3 linked regions of the Lepisosteus oculatus genome follow. The protein of the gene in region 1 interacts with the protein of each later gene in a pairwise test. Links are inferred from orthologs where the notes say so. Each region holds a gene or a part of one and is shown in the gene's direction. Other genes may lie near its edges.

What was found.
Region 2: the proteins of bhlhe40 (region 1) and rhobtb3 interact in binary tests that used the Homo sapiens proteins (3 or more experiments, as listed by UniProt). The two-hybrid records come from large-scale screens. The link is inferred for Lepisosteus oculatus from reciprocal best matches to the Homo sapiens genes BHLHE40 and RHOBTB3.
Region 3: the proteins of bhlhe40 (region 1) and inactive serine/threonine-protein kinase 19 interact in a two-hybrid assay, tested with the Homo sapiens proteins (2 studies listed by BioGRID). The two-hybrid records come from large-scale screens. The link is inferred for Lepisosteus oculatus from reciprocal best matches to the Homo sapiens genes BHLHE40 and WHR1.

What each region holds. Positions count from the first base shown.
Region 1 is NC_090699.1:54,736,770-54,740,518, reverse strand, and holds the start of bhlhe40 (class E basic helix-loop-helix protein 40), read left to right. Parts: upstream 1-1,124; 5' UTR 1,125-1,547; coding exon 1,548-1,624; intron 1,625-1,778; coding exon 1,779-1,842; intron 1,843-2,120; coding exon 2,121-2,228; intron 2,229-2,896; coding exon 2,897-3,020; intron 3,021-3,494; coding exon 3,495-3,749. UniProt on the Homo sapiens protein: Transcriptional repressor involved in the regulation of the circadian rhythm by negatively regulating the activity of the clock genes and clock-controlled genes.
Region 2 is NC_090698.1:74,236,122-74,239,870, forward strand, and holds the start of rhobtb3 (rho-related BTB domain-containing protein 3), read left to right. Parts: upstream 1-1,415; 5' UTR 1,416-1,501; intron 1,502-2,471; exon of another isoform or gene 2,472-3,159; intron 3,160-3,749. Other genes in the region: probable G-protein coupled receptor 150, read right to left, coding at 1-849. UniProt on the Homo sapiens protein: Rab9-regulated ATPase required for endosome to Golgi transport. Involved in transport vesicle docking at the Golgi complex, possibly by participating in release M6PRBP1/TIP47 from vesicles to permit their efficient docking and fusion at the Golgi.
Region 3 is NC_090714.1:16,457,675-16,461,423, reverse strand, and holds the start of inactive serine/threonine-protein kinase 19, read left to right. Parts: upstream 1-1,391; 5' UTR 1,392-1,887; coding exon 1,888-1,993; intron 1,994-2,497; coding exon 2,498-2,649; intron 2,650-3,098; coding exon 3,099-3,334; intron 3,335-3,749. Other genes in the region: dxo (decapping and exoribonuclease protein), read right to left, coding at 258-733, 876-938. UniProt on the Homo sapiens protein: DNA-binding protein which is required for efficient transcription-coupled nucleotide excision repair (TC-NER). Acts as part of a TC-NER complex which assembles and interacts with RNA polymerase II (RNAPII) when it stalls at DNA lesions.

The sequences.
Region 1 (3,749 bases):
TTTTCCATTTCAGAATAATATACAACTAGTTATTTTAATGGCGAATTCACATCGACTTGAATGTTGTAAATGGCTGTCGACAACAGAACACTAAGGTAAAAGAGAACGGTATACAGAGCTCACTTCAGCCGAAAGGATTAGATCTTCACGCAATGCAAGCATAGCCGTATGTGGTTACATATCATTTTGCATATATAAAAAGCGCAACTGTCTTAACCCGAAGCTTCAAAATGAAATGAACATCTCTGATCATGCTAGTCTTCAGTAACCTTAAAAGACCCGCACAGCTGCTAAATGAATTGCCTGGTATTCACGTTTGTAGCAGGAATTCGTATTGCGCTAAGACTAGGAGTCCAAAATCTTGCGTCACAGATCAGTTAACTTTAGTAATGCTGTCTGCACTGCACTGTGGTCACGGTACTTAATATTAGTTAATAGCATTGTAATTTTAAAAATTTTGTCAAGCACGATTTAGAGGTGAACTAACTATGCAGAAGACATTCCGTGGTTCAAGGTTGGCACAGCCTTGTCAGAATTATATCGTGCATACCTAGGAAATCCTAAAAACGTGGCGTCGCTGATTATTGGTAACATGACAAGCTCTATTCAGATTGCCGTGAATAACATCAGCGTTGGTATAAGAAAACCTCCACGAGTCAGAAATCCACACAGAGATTTTAATTAAAAATGCGGAGTAGCGACATAGCCATTGGAAAAATGTACTATGTTCGACATGTAGTTGATAAAATTTGAAAATAATCGCGACACTTCAAAGGCACGGGGTGAGGTCGAGGTTTCTCATTTTTGGAAAGAATATAAGTAGTGTCATGTTTACCGATTTTAATATTCTTTTATATGATTTCAACATTACATAGCAGCATGCAAGATTAATCGATTCCCTTTTAAAATCGGGTACTCTACCCTCCCCGATTTCTACAATGCCGAAAACCTCATCTGTAATGAAAAGTCTTTGATGCTCCGGGGATGCTGCTTTGTAGCACACTTAAGTGGAGCATGGTGGTACACGGGACACAGAAGTGTGACGGGGGCGTAACGTTTTCGTGCAGATCCTCCTTAACAAGGAAAAAAAAAAGGGTTGTTCGTAGTTCAGTTGAAAGTGCTGTCCAACACGTGAGGCTCATGTGACGGAGGTAGGTCAGTTACTGAGCTAGAGACGTGTCTGTAGTCACAGGGTTTATTTAACACGTAGCCCAATCCACCCACTCCCATACATTTAACCCAGCCTGCAGCTTCAAACTACAGCCGACTGCGCTTTGGATCGCTGGGTGATAACGTCGTGAGCGCTGTCGTTCTGCTTTTCAAGAGACATCGTGGATGATGAAAAGTAAAGCGTAGAACAATAAGCAGCTCGCAAAATCTGAAGAAGAAAAAACAAAACGTCAGAGCAAGAGCGGTCTTTTGATTTTTTTTTACTAAATCATATACACTTTTCATATTCAGTTTTGCGACTGAACGGGAGAAACGAAAAAAAAAAACTTTTGACTATCGTACCTTGTTTCACGTTGGTTTCGTCGTCAGAAAAGAAAATGGAAAGGATCACAGCTGCGCAGCCACCCCCTTGCATGACAAAACACACATCGTTGGAAATCCCTGACATGCAAGGGTATGTACGTGTCTATTAACAGCTGGTTTGTGCATTTTCCAGTCTGCAGTTTGTCTCTTCTTCTGTGTGTCGCGCAATTCGTGCAAGTTTGATAAAGTTAGCCGTTCTTCAAATGCAGACATCTTATTTTCCCCCGTTTTCATATTGCTTGTAGAATGGATTTCCCCATGTACGTGTACAAGCCCAGAAGGGGAATAAAGCGAGGGGAAGACAGCAAGGTACGAAACGCTCTCTCTTCTTGATTACAATTTGAAATACCTTTCTGGTGGATCTTTTATATGTCATTTGAAAGCTGTTTTTGTAAGTTAAACATGTATTTAATCGAGGCATATATCATTATTTTGATGTATGCTTATACCATATATGTATGTATTTAATGGGCTAAAAATGCAATAACGTAAATATAATTTTAAATTAAACTATGTAAACTTTACATAGTGTACTTAAACGTGCATACTTGAACAAGAACCTAACTGTTGATTTTTTTTTTCTCTAGGAAACTTACAAGTTGCCCCATAGACTCATTGAAAAGAAAAGGCGTGACAGAATTAATGAATGCATTGCTCAACTTAAGGATTTGTTGCCAGAGCACCTTAAACTTACTGTAAGTTAGAATTTGGAATAAAGTCAATTCTTTTAAATAGAAATCAACTGTGGTATAAAGCGCCATCTGCTTGTTGGCGTAGGGTTTTCTTGAAGGGCAGCTGACTTTACATGGGAAATTATCAAGGGAATGGATCAAAGCCTTTCTTCGATTTATTCATTCGCCTTGACATTACATAGCTTCTGCAGTTGTACCGAAAGTACCGAAAAGTTCCACAGGATAGGATCATAGGTGCCAAATGGCGTATTTGAAAATAAAAATTCTAGTATATTTTTTGATCGGATATGAAGTGATTATAGGTACGGTAATTGTGTTAATATCACTTGAAAATATGGTTATGTGGAAACAATATAAACACGGGAATCTTTGATATTCAAAGGCTTTTTAATTAAGTTTTAACTTGTTGATAAAAATGCTTCTTTTAAAATTACCGTTCGGTGCCCATCCTTTAACAATTGTAACGCGTAATTGTATGCACTTTGTTGATGCGTTACAAATATTGTACGATTTATAGTTAGAGGGATTCGTATTTTTACTTATTTGATATTTCAAAGCTCTTGTTCATTCTATCACGTTATTCTTAAACTGCTTTTGATGATCACAGGTTTGTCAGCCACAGTTTGTTACATAAGTTATCTGCGTGCTTATCAGACTTTTTTTATTTACAGACTTTGGGCCATTTGGAAAAGGCGGTGGTTCTGGAGCTGACCCTAAAGCACGTGAAAGCCCTCACTAGCCTCTTAGAACAACAGCAGCAAAAAATCATCGCACTACAGAATGGATTGCAAGTCGGTAAGTAATGTGCAACTTCAAATGTAAATGCATAGATTAATAGATAACAGCATACGTTTTTGGCTTTTGATTTTATTACGTTTATTGAAAGGAGTCTTTGCAAAGGGCGATTGCATGTGACATTTCTAAGCTGCTAAATCAGGAATAATATGTAAATATAAGCCTGTGCGTATCATTCAAAACGTCATGTCTGAATGGCAAAATTCCCTTGAAACATTCTATTCCATTAGACATTTTCTGCAAGATGAAATGTTATGTCTTTTCTCAGAACTCGAAATAGCTTTTCAGTAGCAAAATCCCAACATAAAAATTAAATGTTTATTTACTGAGTAGTGCAGTAACTTAGTGAATAACCTTTTAATACGGGATGTCTGCGAGCATCTTGTATTGAAATTAAGTTCCAGTGCAACTATTCTGTGACGGTCAGGATGATTAATTAGAAGTTCCTTCTTTTTTTCTTTTTTTTTTTTTAAGGTGACCATCCAGCTCACAGCCCTGACGTGAGCGAGGAAATGTTCCGGTCTGGTTTTCACATGTGTGCAAAGGAAGTTCTGCAGTACCTGGCCAACCAGGAGAGTGGACGAGAGCTGACCCCTTCCCATATGATCAACCACCTGCACAAGGTAGCGTCTGAGGTCCTGCAGAGAACACCCAGCCCCCGAATGGAGGATCTTGGCCTCAAAGCTCATGACCACAAAGAGAAGCCTGCCGGTTTGCAGCCCAAGATCT
Region 2 (3,749 bases), on another chromosome or scaffold:
GAGGATGATGATCACCAGCGTCATCTTGAGGGTCTTGATCTTGGCGCGGGGGATCGCGCTGTTGGCGGCCGTCACGCGCAGCGGTCGTTTCCGGTGCCGGGGCTTGCGGCTCAGGAGCCCGTGGGCCGTGCCGCTGGCCCGCGTGTCCCTGCTCCACACAGTCCACAGGATGCGAGCGTACGCCACACACAGGACGCAGAACGGGGCGAAGAACACGGTGACCGAGCCGTACACGATGTAGGCCTGGAAGTGCCAGCGGGGCAGGTCGGAGAAGGTGTTGAGGCACTTGCTGTGGGGGCTTCTGTCCGGCTGCACCTTGAAGACGAAAGCCTGGGGCAGCGCCAGGACCAGCGCCGCCAGCCAGCCCACGGTCGCCAGGAGCTTGGTCGGCAGGGGCGACGCCAGGGGGCGCACTATGACGTGGTGCCGCTCCAGCGCGATGATGGCGATGATGTTGGACGAGGCGATCAGCCCGAACACCTGCAGCACCTTAAACAGCCGGCAGGCCAGGTCCCCGGCCACCCACCTGTCCTCCAGCACCTCCCAGACGATCTGGGACAGCAGGGTGAGCACGGAGACGCAGAGGTCGGCCACGGCCAGGTTGGTGATGAGGGCGTCTATTTTCCGCCGCTTGCTCCGGCCGCAGCAGATCTTGTGGAGCACGATGGAGTTGCCCAGGAACGCCACGGCGAAAATGACGGACATCGATATGATTCGGACCTGCCGGTTGTAGAAGGGGCCCCGGGTGGAGGAGGAGTTGCCCCCGCGGTCGGCCAGAGGGAGACTCCAGCGGTCCAGCTCGGACGAATTCGTGCGCGGGTCGCCAGCGAAGCCGGGCGCGCCGTCCATCTCTGCGCGCCACAGCCCTGAGCGATCCTGTCAACTTCTCAAGCTGAAGACGAAGTGCGGGCGCAGGGACCGGCTGCATGCAACGGCAGGACTAACGAACCGTCAAGCACCAAGCCCCGGTCGCCAGCCCAGCGCCCGCGAGTGCCTCCATAGCTCAGAGAGCAGGACCGGCGAGCGCTTGCCAGACAAGGCGTTATAGACCACAGAGCGGCAGCCGCAGCTTATATAGACCAGCCCGCGTCATCTGACGATATACTCGCGGGCAGGGGCGAGTGGGCTCGGCAGCAAGGCGGGGGTCTCGGTGACGCCGAGTTTGCGATCGAACCGAGGCCGGAGCCCTCCTGGAGCAGAGCGGGCACGAACACACGGCAGCGCGAGTGAGAGCGCTTCACGGTGCTGGGCTCGGGAGAGCACGCAGAACCGCAGTGCCCCTTACACAGAGCAGTTCTGTGCGTCATTCTTACACCCCGAAGTATTAAAATCAGTGCCCAGAACAATCACCATCTGTGAATGCACCAGAAAATGAGCGAGCGCGTCTTCGGAGTGACAGACGGCAGGAATCCACAGCGGGATCACACGGGAAGGGGACGGGAAGACCGGGAGGTCCACACCTGGCCCGCGGGTACAGGGATCATATGATCGCGATCTGATTGTAAATACCGCTACTGCTACCGCTACTGCTGGTACAGCTATTACTAGTGCTGCTACTGCTGGTACTATTGTACTACTACCTCTCAACTACTACAGTCGCTACTAGTGCTCCTACTCCTGCTATTACCTCTTAACCACTACAGCAGCTACTACTAGTGCTGCTGCTGCTACGTTTCTGCCTCTTCTGCCACTGCTCCAGTCAGCACCATTGCGATCCCCGTGTTCGTGTGGGGTGTCAGTGCCCCACTGCAGACACGCTGGCAGGTTAATACGCTCCTGGGAAACTCCTGGTGTGTGTGAGAGTGTGTGAGTGTGTGTGTGCGCGTGTGTGTGTGTGATTGTGCGTGTGTGTGAGTCTGAGTGTGCGAGTGTGTGCAAGTGAGTGTGTGTGTGAGTGTGCGTGTGATTGTGCGTGTGAGTGTGTGTGCGAGCGAGTGTGTGTGTGAGTGTGATTGTGTGCGTGTGTGAGTGTGAGAGTGTGTGTGTGATTGTGTGCGTGTGTGAGTGTGAGAGTGTGAGTGTGATTGTGTGCGTGTGTGAGTGTGAGAGTGTGTGTGTGAGTGTGAGTGTGATTGTGTGCGTGTGTGAGTGTGAGAGTGTGAGTCTGATTGTGTGCGTGTGTGAGTGTGAGAGTGTGAGTGTGTGTGAGTGTGCGTGTGCGTGTGATTGTGCGTGTGTGATTGTGTGTGTGCGTGTGTGTGAGTGTGTGTGTGAGTGTGCAGGGGTCTGGTGGGCCCTGCCTGGCGCTCATCTCTCCGCCGCCACCCTGAATCGGATGCATCCGTTAGAAACGGGAGGAATGGACGAACTTTTAGCCACGTTTCGACACCTCGGCGCCGTTTCGGAACAGCAGTACAGCAGCTCGAGAGTTAGGAGTTCACGCTTTTCCTTTCAGCGTGGAATCGGCCTTCACCTGTTGCCTGGAGAGGCCGCGCACGCCATCTAGCGGTGTAACACACACCTTACAGAACACGCACTTCTCCCCGGCTCTGCAGCAGCCGCGGGGAGCACCGTTTAACCGACGCGCTTCACGAGCTGTGAATTAAAATGATATAAACATATAAGGGAGAGTTTAATTCTTGTTTCAGTGAAATATGTCATACCCATTTCTATATACACTACAAGCGCGCCATGATAACAGCTTAATACGTGTTCGTGTATTTAGGTGAAACATAAATATTTTTTTTGTTGCTCTAAGTCATCTAATTTATCTTAGATCTTGGACAGTTGTTTTCGAGTTCGACTTTAGCCAACAATATTAAAACGGGTATTTTGGTGATGCTGCCTGAATTTATCCGCGCTGAACAAACGGATCCCGCTGTTTCATTTGATGTGCAACTCCAAATAAGTGCAATTCAGAAAGTACAATTCACAGGGGGGAAAAAAAGTATCTGTTTCGCTACAACAGCTGCAAGAAATAAGAGTTTTTGTTTGTTCATTGTGAAAATCTGCTCTCCTGCTTCAGCACCACGTGGGGTGTCACGTGTCCAGGTCGTGGCGTCTCGCGGACTGCGGTGCTCCCGTGATTTCAGTCCGGCCAGGAAAACGCAGAAAATTGTTTCAGGGGACTAGATCTATATTATATTTCTGTTTCTGACCTGTGCTGCTTGGGTCTGCGGTGTCACCAGGATGAGAAACGTCTGAAAGGACGGCAGACCGGTGAGTGCGGCGACGTCTGGGTATTTCTCTGACCCGCCGGCTTTTATTTTAATGTCTGGTTTGTGTCGGACATCAAAATAAAGGTGGACGTACACACAGCTGGTGTCGGGTCCAGTTCGGTCCCCCTGTACCCCTGTACTCAATCTGTACCCCTCCAGTACAGTCTCTCCTGGAATCTGTACCCCTCTAATACAGTCTCTCTGGGAATCTGTACCCCTCCAGTACAGTCTCTCCGGGAATCTGTACCCCTCCAGTACAGTCTCTCTGGGAATCTGTACCCCTCTAATACAGTCTCTCTGGGAATCTGTACCCCTCTAATACAGTCTCTCTGGGAATCTGTACCCCTCCAGTACAGTCTCTCTGGGAATCTGTACCCCTCTAATACAGTCTCTCCTGGAATCTGTACCCCTCCAGTACAGTCTCTCTGGGAATCTGTACCCCTCCAGTACAGTCTCTCCTGGAATCTGTACCCCTCTAATACAGTCTCTCCTGGAATCTGTACCCCTCTAATACAGTCTCTCTGGGAATCTGTACCCCTCCAGTACAGTCTCTCCTGGAATCTGTACCCCTCCAGTACAGTCTCTCCTGGA
Region 3 (3,749 bases), on another chromosome or scaffold:
TGGGTTGCTGGGGTTTGGAATCTGCATTAATTTCTCACAAGGTCAAGAAACGAGTGCTGTTAACTACCTCAGCGGCAGCCTCCAGTACACCAGTCCTGGAGTATCTGCCCCTAGTGATGTGCAAGAGCAGCAGAATTCACCCCTCCCCGTCATACCCCTGCTCTTCATGTACTTGCAACAGGAAGCGCAGCTCGCTTTGACAGAGGGGCGGGAAACATGCAAAAGCACAGCGTGCTCAGGCGTCCGGCCAGCCCTACCTATTGAAAGCAGGCGACGCCGTGCCACCTTGGTCCGGGGTCCCCCGGAGCTTCGATCTGTTCGCCAGGATCCACCGGAGAAGGTGATCCAGTCCCTCTTTAACGGCCTCGTCCCTCTTCACGTAGCGGTCCCGGTAGCCGTCTCTCAGGTCGAAGTTGGGGCAGCGCTCCGGCTGCACGTAATACCTCAGCTGCCTGGCGTCGCTGAAAAACCTGCGCTTGGCGTCCAGGGAGAAATGCCCCACCTCCACCGGCTGCTTGTACAGCGGGAAGTCTCTGTCGTACAGCTGCCTCCGCACGCTCAGCACCCGGGGAGGAGGGGAGCCGGGGGAGCTTCTCTCTCCGCGGCTGGAACTGCCTCTCTTGCTGTCCTCGCCGCCCCCGCTCCTCTCTTCCCTGCTGCGCTTGTGCTCAGACCGGACACCGGCTGACCCCCGGTGGCCACACGGGCTGTGGCGACGGTCCATCGTCTTCTGCTTCGATCCCAAAAAAAAAAAACAAGCTACATATTAACACGTATTTTTTTTCCCCGCAAGGCTTTAACTTTGAATAAACGTATCTCCTGTCATGCCTTTGCGGCTAAAAGACCTGTAGCCTGTTTCCTATCGGCACACGAACCTGCTGGTTTCGATTCTTTTCTGCTGCGGTGACAAAGTGTAAAATCTCCAGGCTCGCCCACATTCAGATCGCATGCCAGGAGCTTCCTTGCGCACGTTAGAGAGGGACTAACAAGTAGAGCAACGTTCACTCGCCAACGTCCGTAAATTCCAATAGTTAATCATCTGTAGGAGCGTTTCATTGTTGTCCCACTACGTACACACATTACGCACTGTTATAAGACAGCTATATTATCACTCCTGCGACCCCCATCTCTTACATGTTCAAATCATTATAACCTGATCCACGAACGCAATGGCGCAATTCAATTCTTTGCAAGAGAAAACAGACATTACAAAAACATACATGGATACTCCCAGGCACCCAAAGCAGTCACACCAGGTGTACAGTTCAATGTAGAATGTGAAAAAGGAATTGCAGTACCTTATTTTAAATTCAGCAACTGAGCCGCCATACCTGCGTACACAGTGTTCAAATGGCGGCTTTGTTCTACGTCATTGTCCTGCGACGAAACATTGCGTCACAACCAGTCGACACAGAGTGCCCAGCTGGCAAAGAAATAACTTTTTTTTTGTAGTTTTGGAATAGTGGTTGTTTTTGTTGTGTTATTGAAAGATAAAATTAGACATTACCCTCTGATATTTGGCTTTAGGTTGCTGACGGTTAGTTTACTGAATTGATCTGGGATTTAAATTACCAGGTTTATGTTTATAAACCGATTTCGATAACTAACTTCCTCCCAAGAAAATAAACCGATTTCACCTCAAGCGTAGGCGTCTTGTATGGAGTCCTGGCTTCTGCACCACCGTTTTGAATAAAACAGTTCTAATGTATACGTTTTTACTCCAGTCCAGGAACCCCTTCATTATTGGAATAAGTAAATTACAGGTTATGCACTGATGTATCTCTGCGTAAAATAAGTGAGCACAAGACTTCCTCGACCTGATTGCGGTGCATTAATAAAGGCGAGCATCGGAGAGGTTGTCGATATTGATGTGTCCGTTCCGCAGCGATGAACAGAAAAAGGACATTGATATCGGACACCTTCAGAGCTAAGAAGAGGAGATCCGAGACAGAGCGTGGACTACAAGAAAATGGCAAAACGTCAATATCCCAAGGTATTGAATTACGAATTATTTCAATTTTATTAGTCTGAGCTTTTTTTAACTTTTTTTTAAACTTTTTTTTAAAAGACTTTATGGTTGCCAAATGATACTCTTTTGTACCATGACTGAATAATTAAATCCAGTAAATTATTTCTTTCTGAAACAGAAGTGACAAATGACACAAGTTTGATAAAACAAAATGACAGAGAGTGCAAAATGATGGATAGTTATTGGACTAGCCCTTTATACTCCAGACCCCAGGTAACTCCGTTTTGGGGACTTTTCTGCAACAGTTCAGCTTTCTCTTTCCTAGACTGCAGATTTCCATTGCAACTTCCTTATAGAAGTTGTGATCACATTGTCAGTGCTTCTTAGATTTGTAGATGGGGATAGAAAGGCTTGTAGGTGTTTTAAATTGGCTTGTGTGAGTGGTGACAAACTGAAAACAAAGCTATATTACATTATTTTGCCAAGATTAAGTGGGATCCTATCAGCTCCTTGATTGTGTTATTCCAGCTGCAGAGGGACCTCTGGACATTATGGCAGCCCTGGAGAACTTGATGTCTCTGTTTCCTCGAAAGCTGTTTAATGACACCCTGCCGCCCATAGTGATGAAACACCAGCTCTACAGTATTCATAGAGACAGGACACTTGTGGACCGGCAGCTGGTAACACTTCCCTCACTCAAAAGAGACTTCTAAGAATAAAAGAAATGTGATTTGTAAGAACTAAAAAAAACAGGGTAGTATTTTGTCAGAGGAAAGTTGTGTTTGTACTTTTTCTTCAGATATTGTGATGTGATATCATTCTAACGAGCCTGGATATATGCAATAGTTGATTCTTGCTACGCCAAGATACCCTGGCAGGTAAAAGCTTGCTGGAAGTGCAGGTGAGTTTAGGATAGATCAGAGTCCAGAAAGCTCTCTCTTCCAGCATTATAGCATAAACGTTTCATGGTTTGATGTCGTGGAAAGGTGCCGAAGAAGGTAAAGTTTAATTTCTGCCTTCTTGAGAGCATGTTTTCTGAGCCTCAATACTGACATCAGAATTTTCTTTGCAGCTGCACCTTCATGACCTGTTTTTCTATTCTTTCTGGTTTATCCCTCCGTTCTCCCAGAGTGAACTGAAGGACCAGGGGAAACTGCTGATGTTCCAGCTCGGCTTCGACTCGGACACGGCTGCGGTGGTCTTTGCGGACGAATACAAAGCCAAAGTGCTTGCGGGAGAAGCCGGGAGGGAGACGTCTGGGACCGTGGAGAGGTTCCTCGAGAACGTGCTGCCCGTGTGCTCTGACCTGAGTTTCAACAAAGAGAAGATGCTCAAGGAGTTCCTCTTCACAGACCAGGAGATCACGTACGAGACGGCCTTACACTCATCTCTCTTCCCTCATTCCCTTTAGCGAGCTGGCAGTTTTTGTACAGCATTTGCTGGTTGTTGTAAGGTGCTTTTTGTTTTATAGGTAGTGTGGTATAGTGGTTAGCATTGTTGCCTCTCGGCAACAGGGCTCTGGGTTCAATTCTTGGGATGCTGTCTGCCTGGAGTTTGTACGTGCGTCCCGTGATCATGTGGGTGTCCTCTGGGTGCTGTTTTCTTCCGGCAGTCCAAAGACATGCTGATAGGTTAATTGACTTCTGGGAAAATTGTCCCTGGTGTGAGTGATTGTGTGCGTGTGTGTCTGTGTGTTTGTGTTTGCCCTGCGATGGACAGGCATCCCGTCCAGAGTGTATCCCACCTTGTGCTCTTTGCTTGCAGGATGGGCTCTGGCTCC